2 linked regions of the Drosophila melanogaster genome follow. The protein of the gene in region 2 interacts with the protein of the main gene of each other region in a biochemical or structural test. Each region holds a gene or a part of one and is shown on either strand. Other genes may lie near its edges.

Region 1 (5,740 bases), 1.5 Mb from region 2:
TGAAGTTGTGGTTCCAAAACTGGCATAAAGGGATTTGCACATGAAAACCCTTTGCATGTGTGTCCTGTCCCACTACAGAAATGCAAATTATCCAAATCCCCCAAAGGTCTGTTGCCATTTCGATTGCGGCTCGGCTGTTGCTATATCGTCCTGTTTATGCCTGATTAAAGTCAAACAACAAACATATTCTGAGCTGCATTTACCAGACAATCGTATAAACATATACACATGTGGTCATCAGAATAGAATTTATTAGTTGGGAGATCTACAAATCTGCCAATTATTTTAAGCAAATTGTTTTTACTCTCCTTTAACGCAAACAACTTTTATTTATTTAGTTAGTAGCCCTAATTAATATATTACCTGCTAAGTAATACTTGGAACTATTGTTTTCCATACAAATATATAATCCCGCATCTCTGGCCCGAAAAGTCCTCTCTAATCTATGCAGAGAAATGCTTGACAGTGCCTTGTTGTGTGGCTCAACTTTGGCCCCAATCCTAAATCCTTTGTGTCCTTCGTGGCCAGGATTTGCTTCTCATTACCAAGAAGCCCCCATTGTTCGCTCCACTGGGAGGAGCACGTGTGAGAAAGGTTGATGGCCAGGGACATGGGTTTGTGCAGTTTGGTTCTCGCCTTCTCCGCTCCCAAATTATGCAAATTGCTCGAAATTTTGCATTGGATAATTTCCCTATTTGCCCGTAATGCTCAATAAAAAAAAAAAAAATACAAACACAAAAAACATTTTATGACCCAAGAGACCAACGATGGCAGCAAATGGCTGAGCAGAAAAAATACTGAACAGTTGTATAAATGCACCAACAAAAATAAAAATAATATAAAAACAGAACAAACTGCGACGCATTTAATTAAAAATGTAATTACCCATGCTTTTCAACAGCCACATTGCTCGAAGCGGTAGCCAGAGGCTATGAAAACATTATTCGGAAAATTGTTGCAAATTTAATTGTTAAATCCTGCTATATTTTACTGCGGTGTTACTGCATCACGGAGCAGTTGTAGTTTTTTCCATTTCACAAATTTATCTTACTGAAAATGAGTTTAAGAACCATGTCAGAAAAGAGCGTGGGGCAACTAACAAAAAAAAAATTTTAAAAAACTAACTAGTAATCTTTTGTTGTCAATGCCTTGAATTTTCCACAATTTCAGTCTAAATGGAAAACTGTCAATGAAAAGACAATATTTAAACACAACTATTTTCGAAAAACTAAATTTTAAAATTCATCTTTTCGGGAAATCCAAATTTTAGCCCAAGGTATACTTACAATTTGCCATGGATGACTTTGATTTCAGTAGTCCACCTCCGGAGGTACGAACAGTTCATACCCACACGCTGAATGATGAACAGCTCAAGGATTGTGAGGCGGCCTTCGCCCTCTTCGACGACGATAATGCCAAGGTCATTCCGATCAAGTTATTGAGAGATTGCCTGCGAGCCGTGGCCCACAACCCGCCGGAAAACGAGATACAGGATTATATAACCGAAATTGATACGGATGGATCCGGCGAGCTTTATCTCAGTGATTTCCTATACATCATGTCGAAACGGTACGAGAATTTGACCGTCGAAGATGAAGTTATCCTCGCTTTCAAAGTCTTCGACAAAGATGGATCTGGCTTTATACACGAGAATGAGTTCCGTCAGATAATGACTGAATATGGCGATGAAATGGAAGAGGACGAGATCGAGGAAATGATACGTGATGCCGACGCCAACACGGAACTGAAAATCGACTACGTTCGCTTTGTGACCATGATGATGGAGACGTAACACTCTCTTTGAAAAATAAAAAACATAACCGATTGTAGATCTAATCAATAAATTTCAAAAGCATGGCCAATGGAATCGAAGATCTTGAAATATCGGATACCACCAGTTTGGACTATTCTTTAAAAAAAAAAAAAAGCCAATATACAATAGATAAAATGATAACAAGAGTAGGCTTTTCTTGTTATTAAATTATAAATATGAAGTTGTGAACTAAAGTTTGTCGAAAATTTGTAGTGAGTGTTCAGTGACCCCAAAATTTTCCCACCCCCAACCCCTTCCTTTGGCCATGGATTTCGAATTCCTTACTCCGCCGCCAGAGGAACGGACCATTCGCACCCACAATCTGACCGAAGAACAGGTCAAGGATTTGGAGATTGCCTTTTCCCTGTTTGACGACCAAGACACTAAGGTTATTCCTATAACAAATCTCAGGCAACTAATGCTGTCTGTGGCCCACTATCCCAGTGATATGGAATTGCAGGAAATTCAGGCCGAGATCGATGCTGATGGATCCGGTGAGTTATATCTCAGCGATTTCCTTCACATCATGTCTCAGAGGTACGCAAACATGTCTACCGAGGATGAAATTATAGCTGCATTCAGAGTCTTTGACAAAGAAGGAACCGGCTTAATATCTGAATCGGAATTTCGTCACATAATGCAGAACATGGGGGAGCAATTGACGGATGATGAGGTGGAGGAGATCATCCGTGATGCAAATTCTGATTTGGAAGGCAATATAGACTATGTGCGATTTGTCAGAATGATGTCCACTACATAAGGAAAAAGCAGGCTTTAGGGGTTGGGAACCCGACCTGTCAGTATCAGTATCATCAAAACAGTTTCGGCTCATTCCCTTTCGTAAATTCCAACAGTCTATAGCTCTGCAAGCATTTAAAAATATCTCGATAAATACCGAAAATCTTTGAAAATTTATCAAGATGTCCGAACTAACGGAGGAGCAGATTGCCGAGTTCAAGGATGCCTTTGTCCAGTTCGACAAGGAGGGAACCGGCAAGATCGCCACCCGTGAGCTGGGCACATTGATGCGCACCTTGGGCCAGAATCCAACGGAGGCCGAGTTGCAAGATTTGATAGCTGAGGCCGAGAACAACAACAATGGCCAACTGAACTTCACTGAGTTCTGCGGTATAATGGCCAAGCAAATGCGGGAAACTGACACTGAGGAGGAAATGCGTGAGGCATTCAAGATTTTTGATCGTGATGGCGATGGCTTTATATCACCAGCTGAGCTTCGCTTTGTGATGATCAATCTGGGCGAAAAGGTCACCGACGAGGAGATCGATGAGATGATTCGCGAGGCTGATTTTGATGGGGATGGCATGATCAACTACGAGGAATTCGTATGGATGATAAGCCAGAAGTAGTACAGCTACTTTAAATGAAATAAAAATATTTGGGGTCACTGCATAAAAAAAATCGTGTATTTCTCTTCAAAAAATACAATTTACACTTCTCTGCGGTCTAACTATTTTCGAACACTTTTTAATACGCCCCCAATTATTTCAATTATATTTTTGCGGTGTGCTAGTTTTTCCTTTGCCTAATTCGGAGACCGAGAATTTTTCAAGCATGTCCTGCTCTTAAAAATGTTTGATGAAGGCACCCCATTTCGGTAATTGTGGTTGGTTTAAGGAATTTTCGCCTCGCCTTCTTCAGGTGAAAACTTTCAGCATGAAACACTCGACGTGGTTTTAGTCCGCCTTTTCGTTTCCCTGGCAAGTGGTTTTTGCTTCCACATGCGGCACCTTTGTGGCCAGACGAACAATTTTCCTGTTGCTTAAATTCAATTTGCTTATGCATTAAAATTAAATTTTACTGTGGCCTCAGCGGGCCCGGCTCGTACTCCTTGCTGGAAGCAACCTCTTGGGGTCTTTGGGGCTTGTGTCTGACTTTATAAATATTTCGTGTGTGTTGTGTACGCGCATGTATGAATTTTCAATTTTTTGAACAAGTTTCGGTTTCAGTTCAGACATGTCAAAATGTCAACTTGCTTAATTGAGAGTCCGCAAAACATCGAGCATCGCATCGCATTGCATCGCATTGCATCGAATCGAATCGAATCGAGACCTTAACTTCAATGTGCATTCGCATGGAATAAGAACAAAAGCCCAAGCAGATTCCAATTTCAGATCTGACATCAATAAGCACTTACAGTGGCATAAATATTATATATACTCGAGAGCTGGCAAATATATATGTCTATATGCGGTTCAAACACCAGAACGACATCGGCACTTCGCCACCTCGCCGCATAGACGAGTTGGTTTTCAGCTTCAGTTTTCAGTTAGCAGCAGGCACAGGACATGTTCGATGGACTGGCTGCAGAGGAAATTGAATTTGTGGGCAGGACCTCCCTCCCTAGACGGTTCATCCGATGGTGTCGGCGACGGGGCAGTGGGCTCTGCAATATCGAAGAAGGATATTTGAGTGGCAAGTAAATCAGAAATAAGAAAGAAAACACATCGTATACAAGGGAGCTCTCTTTGAGTTTGATCTATGTGTTTTTCGCAAAGACCAGACATTCAGAAAATTGATGTGTTTGTTTTCATTCTCCAGCCTTTAAGACATCATATTTCTCACAGAAACTATGCCTTCGGTTTTTTATGAGGCTATTTCAACTCCGTTTTGGTTGATCCATACACTTGGAAACACTGATATTGACTTTACTTTGAGACAAACTCGTTATTGCGATATTCATAGTTCGTAAGATTAATGCATTTAATGCATTACATATGCATATGCATACATATTCTAATATTTTTATCTTGCACACAATTTTTTTTTAAGTGTATGGCAAAAAGAAAGCATTCTGCTGGCATGCATATGAATTTCTTCTAGGATACTTTTTTTATGCGGTTTGCCGCCCACGTTCCGCACTTGGAGTGTCATTTTTGAGTGGAGTCGGTATGTGCGTAGGATGGGGCAGTGGGTATTGGTATGGAACACTTCCGCACAGGCACTTGAATACGCAAAAAGGCGAATGCAAGTGACGAGGTCCATGAACAAGGCCGAGAGTGTGTCCTGGCCGAAATACGGACTTTTGCGCCAGGGGACGACTTTGGTAAACAACCGCACTCTGGTCAAATTTGGACTGTGGTCCTGGCCACATATATACACAGTTTAAGCAGTTAAAGTTATCTGTTATCTCTAATTGAGAGAGAAATGTGTGTGCGTGTGTGGGGGCTCAAATTTAAAGTTGTTGATTTTATTACGCATACGCCTAGTGGCTCTAGCCATGGCCTCTTATGTTGGCCGTAACAAACTTGCCCGCTTAATGGCGCAGCTTTTTCGGGTCCTCAATCAAATGGTAGGAAATGTCGGGGCTTTCGTCATGGGAAGCCGGCAAAAACCCTTTTCGGATTAACAGATCAACGCACAAATGACCCGAGCAATCGTCTTGGGTTTTCCCAGTTTTTTCCTTCTTGATTTTCCCTGCCATTCCGATAAGGCTGGAAGCTTATCGGGGCTGAAGGACTTTGACGACCCAATTAATTCTTGTTCAACAACCGGCCGAAAAAAAAAATTGTTGCCACATGCATTGTTAGTCTACTTTTCATGTCAAGGAAAAGCGACGGCTGAGAAAAAAAAAACTAAGTGAATAAGGTACAAAAGAAAATAAAAATGAGAAACTCGTGAACGTTAAGTTAAATTGCGCGGAAAAGTTATGCGTCCCCGTTACCCAGAGTTTCTCTAACAAAAAAACTTTGTTAAACATTTTATTCCCTAGAACGCTTGCCACGTTGGCTTAGCGGAACTACTTGAAATGTAAAAATGTTCGAGCCTTGAGTTGAAAAGGCAAACTTGGCAGCAACTTTGAAGGTTCACATAATTATGCGCATTGCCTTGCCACGGCTCCTGTGCCACATCCTTCTCTATCACCTGCTCATGATCTCGTCCAGCCTTGCAGCCTGCTACCAACGTCAT
Region 2 (8,942 bases):
TTTATAAGACCGCTCCTCACTGCCCGGCTAAATGCTAAAAGAGTTATGATCTATTTGTTGCTACCCATTGCTTTTCAATCTTAATTTTTTTTGCATGGTCTTTTTTTTTTTTTGGTTACGTGTGAGATTTCAAAATTTGTATATAATACTTGGTCTATGTTTTAAAGGTAAATGCCCTGCCTTTGGCGTGACCGAATTCTAGATGCCCTGTCTGTAATTTCTTGAAACTTTAAAGTTCAACACCAGCGTCTAACTATTACTTGTGGCCATTGGCTATGGTTGATCCATTTGTCTCGCCTGATCCCTTGAGTGGCTGCGCCTCTGGTGCTCTCAGTTCTTGGCCCGTTTCCAGGTAGACATCTGCCTTGGTCTTCTTGCCAAAGCGCTCGCCATCCGCGATGGTCTCCAGCATGGGCTTATTGTGCGTCTCCGGCAGCAGGAGGGAGAGCAATCCGGCTACCAAGGTCAGGGATCCGCAGATGAGCAACGGCAGTGGCTTCCAGATGGTGGCCAAGAAGTTGAGGAACGGTGCCATCATGCCACTGATCCGGGCCACCATAGAGGCGGCGCCCAGGGCCACATTTCTAACCACGGTTGGGAACTGCTCGGCGGAGAATATGTAAACGGTTCCATACGACGCCGTGATGGCCAGCTTGCCAAGCATGGCGCACGCGACTATGAGGGTGTGCATTCGCTGCGGAATGATGACCGTGGCCAGGAGACTGAGACCGGCCATCACCAGGCAGCCACACAGGATCGATCGCCGGCCCCAGCGGTTCAAGGTCAGCAGCAGGAATATATAGGCCGGGATCTCCACGGCTCCCGAGATGACGAAGTTCAGCAGCACATTGCCACCCAGGTTGCTGGTGTTCCATGAGAGACCATAATACACGCCGCTGGTCACCAGCCAGTCCAGGAAGATAAGCAGCGTCTTGCGCCGGAGATTGGGGTAGCAGAAGAGATCCCACACGGAGGGCGGTGGTCCCTCATCCAGCTCCTGATCCTCCAGCTTCTGCTTGGCCTTCTCCTCCGAGTTTTCTCCCTCATCGAGCAGCTCACTCAAAGCCTCATCGCTGATCTCCACCTTGTTGAATCGCGCCGCCTTCTGCATGTTGGCAATGGCGCAATCCTTACGTCCCTTCAAGAGCAGCCAGCGGGCGGATTCCGGAATGATCCAGTAGTAGAACATGAAAATTAGTCCGGGAAGCGTTAGAGCAATCTGCAGCCAGCGCCAGTCGTGGACAAAGTAGGCGAAGACCGCCGTCAGCATGAATCCCACGGAGAAGAACATCATGACGAAGATGCCGGCGTAAAGGCGCTTGTCCGGACCCACCATTTCCATGGCCACCACATAGGCCACGAGGAAAACTCCGGAAGTGGTGGCTCCCACCATCAGCCTGGCGAACGTGTAGGTGAAATATTCCGGAGCCACTCCAGCCAGAACACCGAACAGCACCTGGATGACCAGTGAGGCGAAGAGGATGGGTTTTCTTCCGTACTTATCGCTCAGTTGACCAAACACAATGCTGCCCAGAAGCACGCCCAGCATGAAGAGCGAATCACTGGTAGCTGCCATGAAATCCCTGCCACAAACCAGGTTCCACTCGGTCACCGCACTATTGAGGTACTTGCTCCGATCGTAAACGTAGCTGGAACAGGTCTTGGTTTCGTTGCTGCTCCGTGGAATGCTGCCATTCAGGTACTCCTCCGTGTAATCCACATCGTAGTAGGAGCACCTTTCATTCTCCGGATACGATAGGTTCCACAGGTGGGTGGGCAAGTCGTAGCTACTTCCATTCTCGAAGGGCAGGGCGCACCGGAAGTCCGGTTTGGCCAGCAGGAACACCCCGGCCAGCTTGTGGAAGGCAACTGGTATGGATGTTAGGCAGATGAGAAAGTAGATGATCTTCTGATAGCGTCCAAAATCACCCAGATGGATGATGGCCTCATCGTAGCCCATGGCTAAACTGCACACTCAACACTTTTGTCCAGAGTCCACGAATCTAAATATTAGATTCCGTTCGCGCAACTGACTTCGTCGAGTGGCGCCGGTATAATAAAACACCAAATCGGAAACGCTATGCTTTTTTGGCACAATCTCGTGATGTCGACGCACTCGCAAGTTTCCGAGAAATAGAGTGGACTCTCTGCTCCGTTGTGACGTGTACTTTGCTCCCTAGAGAGAGGGAGAGCGAGAATTCTCCGTCTCGGTTCCGGCAATTATCGGCCAACACGTGTTGCCCAAATATGTTGGCCAGGGAGAGGAAGTGAAACCGCGGTGGAAAAACAAGGGCACTTCGCGAAAGAAACCGGCAACCCGCTATCTAGATGCGTCACCTCAGGCCAACGAAACCGAACTGACTATCCAAACCAAACCAAGACCAAACCGAAGCCAAAAACAATAGCTCATGCCAACCGACAGGGACAACAGCAAAGGCGGCTATATATCCGACCCTCTCTGGTGCTCGGATATATCCGACTGTTTATGTTATATGCGAAAAGAAGAACGGCAAACAAACGCCGGCTGCATGCGCACTCTCAGTGGAATCGATATGGAATCGGGAGAGCGGGTCTCTAATACCAAGATAGCAATACCCAGATACAACCACTTCAGGCGGACGAGGAGAAGGTGGAGATATGACTAACATGGTACGGAGCCACCCCTAGTCGTTTTTGGTAGCAAATTACACCGATCCCCGGCCACTTACGGGGAAAGCCTCTACCAATTTCCATTTGCACAGCCGCTTGCAGCCAGGTAAGCCAGGTAAGTGGAAACTCGAATGCCTCATCCGATGGCAGTCGTTTGTCAATCAGGCGATCACGATCACTCAGACCTACGCGCTCTCTTTCACTTCCAATTGAGCTGCGCTGCGACAGACAGACAATTAAGCGGGTATTGCAAAAATACAAAGAAATGGTCGCAGTTGAGTCTAGCGACTAAGAGATACCCATTCTTGTTCGTTGAGATACCAGTTTTCATCAGCTAAAAGAACTTAGTTTCATTAGAAAATTATATCTTATAGTTAAGCAAGTACACCAAGTAACTTCAACTTTGAAATCTAGTATTACAAAGTTAGAAGGGTTCAACCATACTTACTTATAACTTATAACTTACTATAGTTAGTAAAACACAATATACCCCTGCGACAATTAATAAAGACGCTCCTGATTGAGCTCAATTAATAAGCGGGGCGCTGACCCATTATGAGAGCGAAAAATCAAAGACGGAAAATCGTACGATACAATGGCTCCTATTTCACACTCGTTTCTCGTTCATTCGCTAGTGTTATTTATCTAAATATTTGCAACAAAGGCTGGCGGAATATTTGATCCCCAGAATGCATCCAGGTGGTGGTGGTAGCTGGTAAAGTTAAGGACAGGAAAATAATTAGTCACCTCACTTTTTATTCATTAAACAACCCCTCTTGGAACTTTTACAAAGAGTACGGGCGGTATGTGGGAACCAATTGTCCTGCTCCACGTCACTAAACTTAAAATATATAGGGAACAAGAATATGAGAACGCACCGTTGTGCAGCCATCGAAATCTATATTTTGAAAAGTTGCCAAATCTTCTTGCTTTGCTGAAATAATTATAGTATAGTACTGAGAACTGAGTACAACACTATCCAACATTCTGACGGATAAACCACTGCGACTGTGGACCAGTCGTGATGCAGGTGTTGCAGAAGAGTGAACCACTCGATAACACCGCATTCTTAACCCATTCCATTCAAACTTGGCCATTTTCGTTTGCATCTTTCATAATTAAACTTAAAAACAGCACGATCAGCGGTGAATCTTTTTGAAGAGTATACTGTTTATATATACTGATATGCGGTGCATCTTAAATTACCATATTCCAAGCTTTAAGTTTAGAACTGGCTACACAAATAGGATAAGTAAAAACTACTGCATCTACGAAAATGAGTATCTTAAAAACCCATCTAACCATTATGGATTTGAAAAGTAACGCATATTTAAAATTAGCGCCAAAACTAATCTCTGGTCACACTGCAGGGCAGATTTTGCGCCCTAACTATCGGCAGCGGTGGTGGCACCTCTAGCGGTCAGCTGTTTTGCGCGTGCTTGTTGTTGTTTCGGTGCCGTTGCTTTTCGAAGTCGAAAATCCAAAAGTGGATTGTTGTGGATTTGATTTCAGTTCGACTCGACTCTCCAACGCGACGGTACGCGATTCGAGACGCTCGTGCTGGTCGCCTTCCGATCGCCGCTTGAATCTTAAATCTAAACTGTTAAAACCGAGGCAAACAAACACAACACCCAGCTGAAAATACTTCAAGTGTTACAAACTTTTGGAAATAGTGTATCGTGGCTATAAATTGCAAGTTCTAAATTCGAACCAAACAAAATCCACGCAGGAGATCGATTCCAAGTGGATTGCGCCTTCATCAATGTGTTCGTGTGCGTCCCCGGAAACATAATCCCCATTTGCCAGTAACTTACGCACGTACAGATTTCCAGCCGTCTTAAGGTAAGTGGCCAATATCTCTCTGGAGGAATAGGGGTAAGGGGATAACCGCCTGACAGCGAGTGGTGGTCACCTGTGAAGGCGGATTTGCTGCCTTTTGCTTTCTGTTGACTTGCGCTTTTCGCCTTTCCGCCTGACATTGGCACATTCTTGTCCACGAAAATTGGTTACCTATGTACAATATGCCAGTGTTGCAAACAAGAAATCGATTAGCAATCGCGGAAGTGACTGCACCCTACATATGAGTACTTTCAACTGGGAATCGTTTTTTGCACATAAACTAAACCAAAGTACAATTAATCATTACATTTTATTAATTTCTATACCAAGTAGTTACATAGAATTTAGCTCTTTTCTGGCTTTGGTAAACTTATTCTAACCATGACTCATATTTGTTTTGTTTGCCCTCCAATATTATTAGTTCTCTATAGAACAGGAGGTTCAAACAGAAAACGTGACCGTAAATCGAACAAAAGGAGTGCGCAGTCGCAACAGCAAATGTCACCACCATTCCTGCAATTCCCACAGCTGTCCTCCTACCACGCATCCTCATCCACATCCCGCACCCACAACCATGCACCCTATTCCATGTGTCCATATGTGTGTGTATGTACATAATTCTATTTATAGACAGGGGCCCATGTCAACGTCGTCAGTTCACAGTTGTTGTTGTTGTGTTTTTAAAGCAAACTCAAAGATAGTTTTGTGTCCCGACCATTTTAATTGAGTGCGGAAATGAGCAAACATTTCTTGGAGCCACACCCCCCTCCCTTCCCTGTCAACCAGGGACACAAGTGTCGTTCTCCCCGATCGACTGACTGGCCGTCTGATTTCCCATTCGAGGCACATTTCGTTTATTTATGTGGAAAATAGGGGCAGAGTAGGAGCTGGAGGAGCAGGGATGTGGACGCCGCTCCTGCGCATGCGTGTCCATGTTTGCAGACGTGCCCAACCTATTCTGAACACTTTAAAGCCAATTAAACGGGTTCGTCGATACCCTTTCATGTGGCCAGGGTATCTATATTTCTCTGGGGGGGTGAGGAATGTTGTCCTTGTTCACGGGAATCGGTGGCTAGAAACAAACAAGAATGTTTATATGGGTGCTAAAACTAACTTACCTATTTGCATTTCCCTTTAACCAAGACATTTTACTTTATAATAAATATTTGATGGATTTATTGAGGTATCACTGTATCATTTCACCTAATATTCGCACAAGGGTGTCGCGCATATAATTCCATATAATTCGAGATCCTTTGCGGTGCACTGGAGGAAGTCCTGTTGTTGTCCCTGTGCTGGCTGTCACTCAAGCCCCGTTCAACCCCCTTTCAAACCGACGTGACCTCCCCCTCGCCGGGTGGCAAGCAATTCCCAACACGCGCCACACAGCTGACAGGATCGCAGGATCACAATCCTGATCTCCATTGCCGTCCATTGTCAGCGCCGACAGCTGCCTATATGAATTATATGGAACCTTCGACGGGTTATACAGATATGTAGCCCAAAGTTTCTCGAATGGAGGCAAACCAATCTTTTTGGAGTGGCCAGCAGTTGGGCTCGAGATGCGTTAGACCAATTTGCATATAATACAAAAAGAGAAACACTGAAACGGCCGACGATTGTTCAAAGATTCGCAGTGAAAGTCAGCCAGAGTGTGTGGTTTAATTGCAGCTTTTGTTTTGATAGTCGATTAGCATAATTCCAGTTGTATTTTGCTTCTATCGTGGCATCGTTGATGGATTTTTTATGTACATGCCCCTCTTGTTTTATTCATGTACATTAGTTTTTTTTGGTTTGTCCAACGCAACACGTGCTTATAAAATATTGGATCAATATATGCAATGAAAGTTCCGTTTCAGTTTCCTGTTCAAAAATATATCAACGGTGATTCAAACTATATATTCGGAATACAGTTGTAAATATGATAAGATAGCACTCATTTTTAAACACTAAATAAATAAATTATTTCAAGCTTAAACTTCAACCACTTAACTAATGTGAATCATGTATGATGATAATGATACGACCATTTTTATAGTTACAGTAACATTTAAATTCATAATCCATAATCCCATAATCTGCAACTTTTTTGTCAAAAAATTTTACTTTCGTTTGATTAATGACTGTCAGTCTATTTATAACTTTTCAATCGTTAAACAATCATTTAAAACAAAGGGACTGAAAATAGATTTGCATAGCTATAGTTTTCGATGGGAAAGAGGCTCGACTTTCTGCAATTTGCTAGTTGTGTGGCCAATAAATTTGGTTATATTATTCTCATTACAACGAAACTGAATTATATTTACCTGCTATTTATTTTTCTGCCTAGCGTCAAACGGGTAATTGTGCTGGGGAACTGAGATAAGATTAAGTGTGAAACGATAACACATATTTGGGAACACCACACACAGGCCGCCCAAAAAAACAAAGGCTGGCTAACACAAAGCCCCCAATGTGACCCAAAATAAACGAAGTGATCCATGCTTTTTTCCCCCATGCTCACATATCCGCCAAGTGCAAAGTAACGACTTGCAGGTCCACACCATATGGAAAATCTGTGAACATGTGTCGTGGAAAATGAGTTATAGGGTCGTCACACAAATCCATCAACGTCTGTAAAATGACTTGGTTAATGGCAATGGCAATGGGAATGGAAATGGGATTCGGATCTGGGTCTGGGTCTGGATGTGGGATAGCCAGCGGTTAGCATTTGCATTTTAATTGCATCTCCGAATTGTAGGAAACGAGCAGCGTTAATTGCCGTTTGGCTCACAGGAAAAAAAAAAAACGCTTTTCAATTGTCGGTAGTTTTCCGGCTTTTTCGGATTTCTTTTGACTGGTCCGCATTAATTGGTTCCACTTGCTCGACGTTTAACTATCGACAGTCATTTCTTCGCCTTACATAATCCCCCTTCTCTACGCTTCATCTTTTTTTTTTAACAATTCCAAGTCGTTGAACCCGCACTGCAACTGAAAGCACTCGACTCGGCATTTGTGGGGCATATGAAAAACTTTAAACTAAACTAAAATACGAAAAAAAAAATTAAAAACAAAATCGGACAGGGATGGCAAAAATAACAGAGAAAGATTGAAAAACAAAACGCTACGAAAAACTTGTTTCGGTTGTGACTTTTGCGCATGCTCAGCGTTTTGCTTGCCAACGCTTTACGGTACAGTGAACTCTGGCCCCGTCACCGTTGCGTTTCCCGCTTTCGGTTAAGCGAAGCAAACTCTTGTTCCTGTGACGTTCGGGCCATAAATTTTACAGCTGCAACTTCTATTGTTGCAAGTGTAATTGCTTTTCGACCAATTTTCCCCCCACATTTTTTTTTTTTTGTTTTTTTTTGGGCTATTCGGATGGGCCAAGTTGGACCATTTAGCCCGAGTGACTCATCACTCTGAACCCATTTGGTAGTGGCTACTGGCAGCTGCAAAATCTGTGGCTAAAACAAGTTCAACTGGTTGCCCAGCGGATGGCTTCTAAATCCGTGCAGTCGCTACAGTTAGGGAAAGGCAGCTACTTAAATCGGGAATAATATGGAGTGTCTATCGAGATGATATTCAATTTCCATTATCATCTTCAGAATGTGGGTAATAATATATAGATACTTTTTATTATGTATATTCACATATGTCTGGGTCACCTTTGCACTTGATTGGGGTCACCTATTTACCATCACATCAGCTTACCCCCTTTTTATGTTGACTTCTGATTAAACTTCTTTTTAAACTTATTGAATAAAGTTAGTAAATTTTTGATCAGTGCACTGTTGACTTTTGTAGCCCCCGCGCTGCACAATCGCGATGCCGAATACGAACCTGAACCTGTCGCACCGTTAGCGCGTCCCTGTGCCTCCATCCTCGCGGACCCGGTTCCCGGGCTCCTGGATCACGTGAGCAGCCCGCCTTGACTGGTTGAACTTGATATTGATATCGGAAGATGGTCAAGGAACTGGCCGGAATGGCGAACGCAACTGGTTTTTGGGCTCATAGGAGATCGGTTCTGGCTGAACAATGCCAATCTGGCCAACAATGTCCATTGGATTCCGATGAAATGCTCATCCACACAAAACTGAACGATTCGCTAACGGGCTGCGAGTTGAGCTTCTTTCTCAGCGCTTTTGGCCTCAAATTGCCTCCAGTTGTTCATGGGTTGTAACCCAGGAAAGTGTCGCAATTATTACACAATTTTCGTGGTTTCGCCGTCTCGTTTTGACTTTGCTTTAATTTTCCTTTGTGTCTGAGATGTTTTGGTTTTCCACCGTTGTAGAATGGCATACGAGCTGTTTTTTTTTTCGTTATGAAATGATGGCAATTGTTTCGCTTGCAATATTATTTTTTGCTCTTCTCGTTTTCCTACTCTTTGTTTCGGGTTTTGTTTATACCGGGAAGTGGCACAAATATGCTATTCCAAAAGGGCTCTCAAAAGAAATGGGTCACCGAGCAGAGCCAGT

What was found.
Region 1: the proteins of jar (region 2) and Acam form a complex in vitro, tested with the Drosophila melanogaster proteins (2 studies listed by BioGRID).

Annotation. Positions count from the first base shown.
Region 1 is NT_033777.3:25,809,911-25,815,650, forward strand, and holds Acam (androcam), read left to right. Parts: upstream 1-2,000; 5' UTR 2,001-2,078; coding exon of another isoform or gene 2,079-2,573; 5' UTR 2,574-2,733; coding exon 2,734-3,180; 3' UTR 3,181-3,224; downstream 3,225-5,740. Other genes in the region: CG5024 (uncharacterized protein), read left to right, coding at 1,295-1,792; CG17770 (uncharacterized protein), read left to right, coding at 2,079-2,573; CG14354 (uncharacterized protein), read left to right, coding at 5,648-5,740. UniProt on the Drosophila melanogaster protein: May be involved in calcium-mediated signal transduction.
Region 2 is NT_033777.3:24,266,448-24,275,389, reverse strand, and holds the start of jar (jaguar), read left to right. Parts: upstream 1-4,156; 5' UTR 4,157-4,491; intron 4,492-8,942. Other genes in the region: Orct2 (organic cation transporter 2), read right to left, coding at 257-1,960. UniProt on the Drosophila melanogaster protein: Myosin is a protein that binds to actin and has ATPase activity that is activated by actin. Together CLIP-190 and jar may coordinate the interaction between the actin and microtubule cytoskeleton.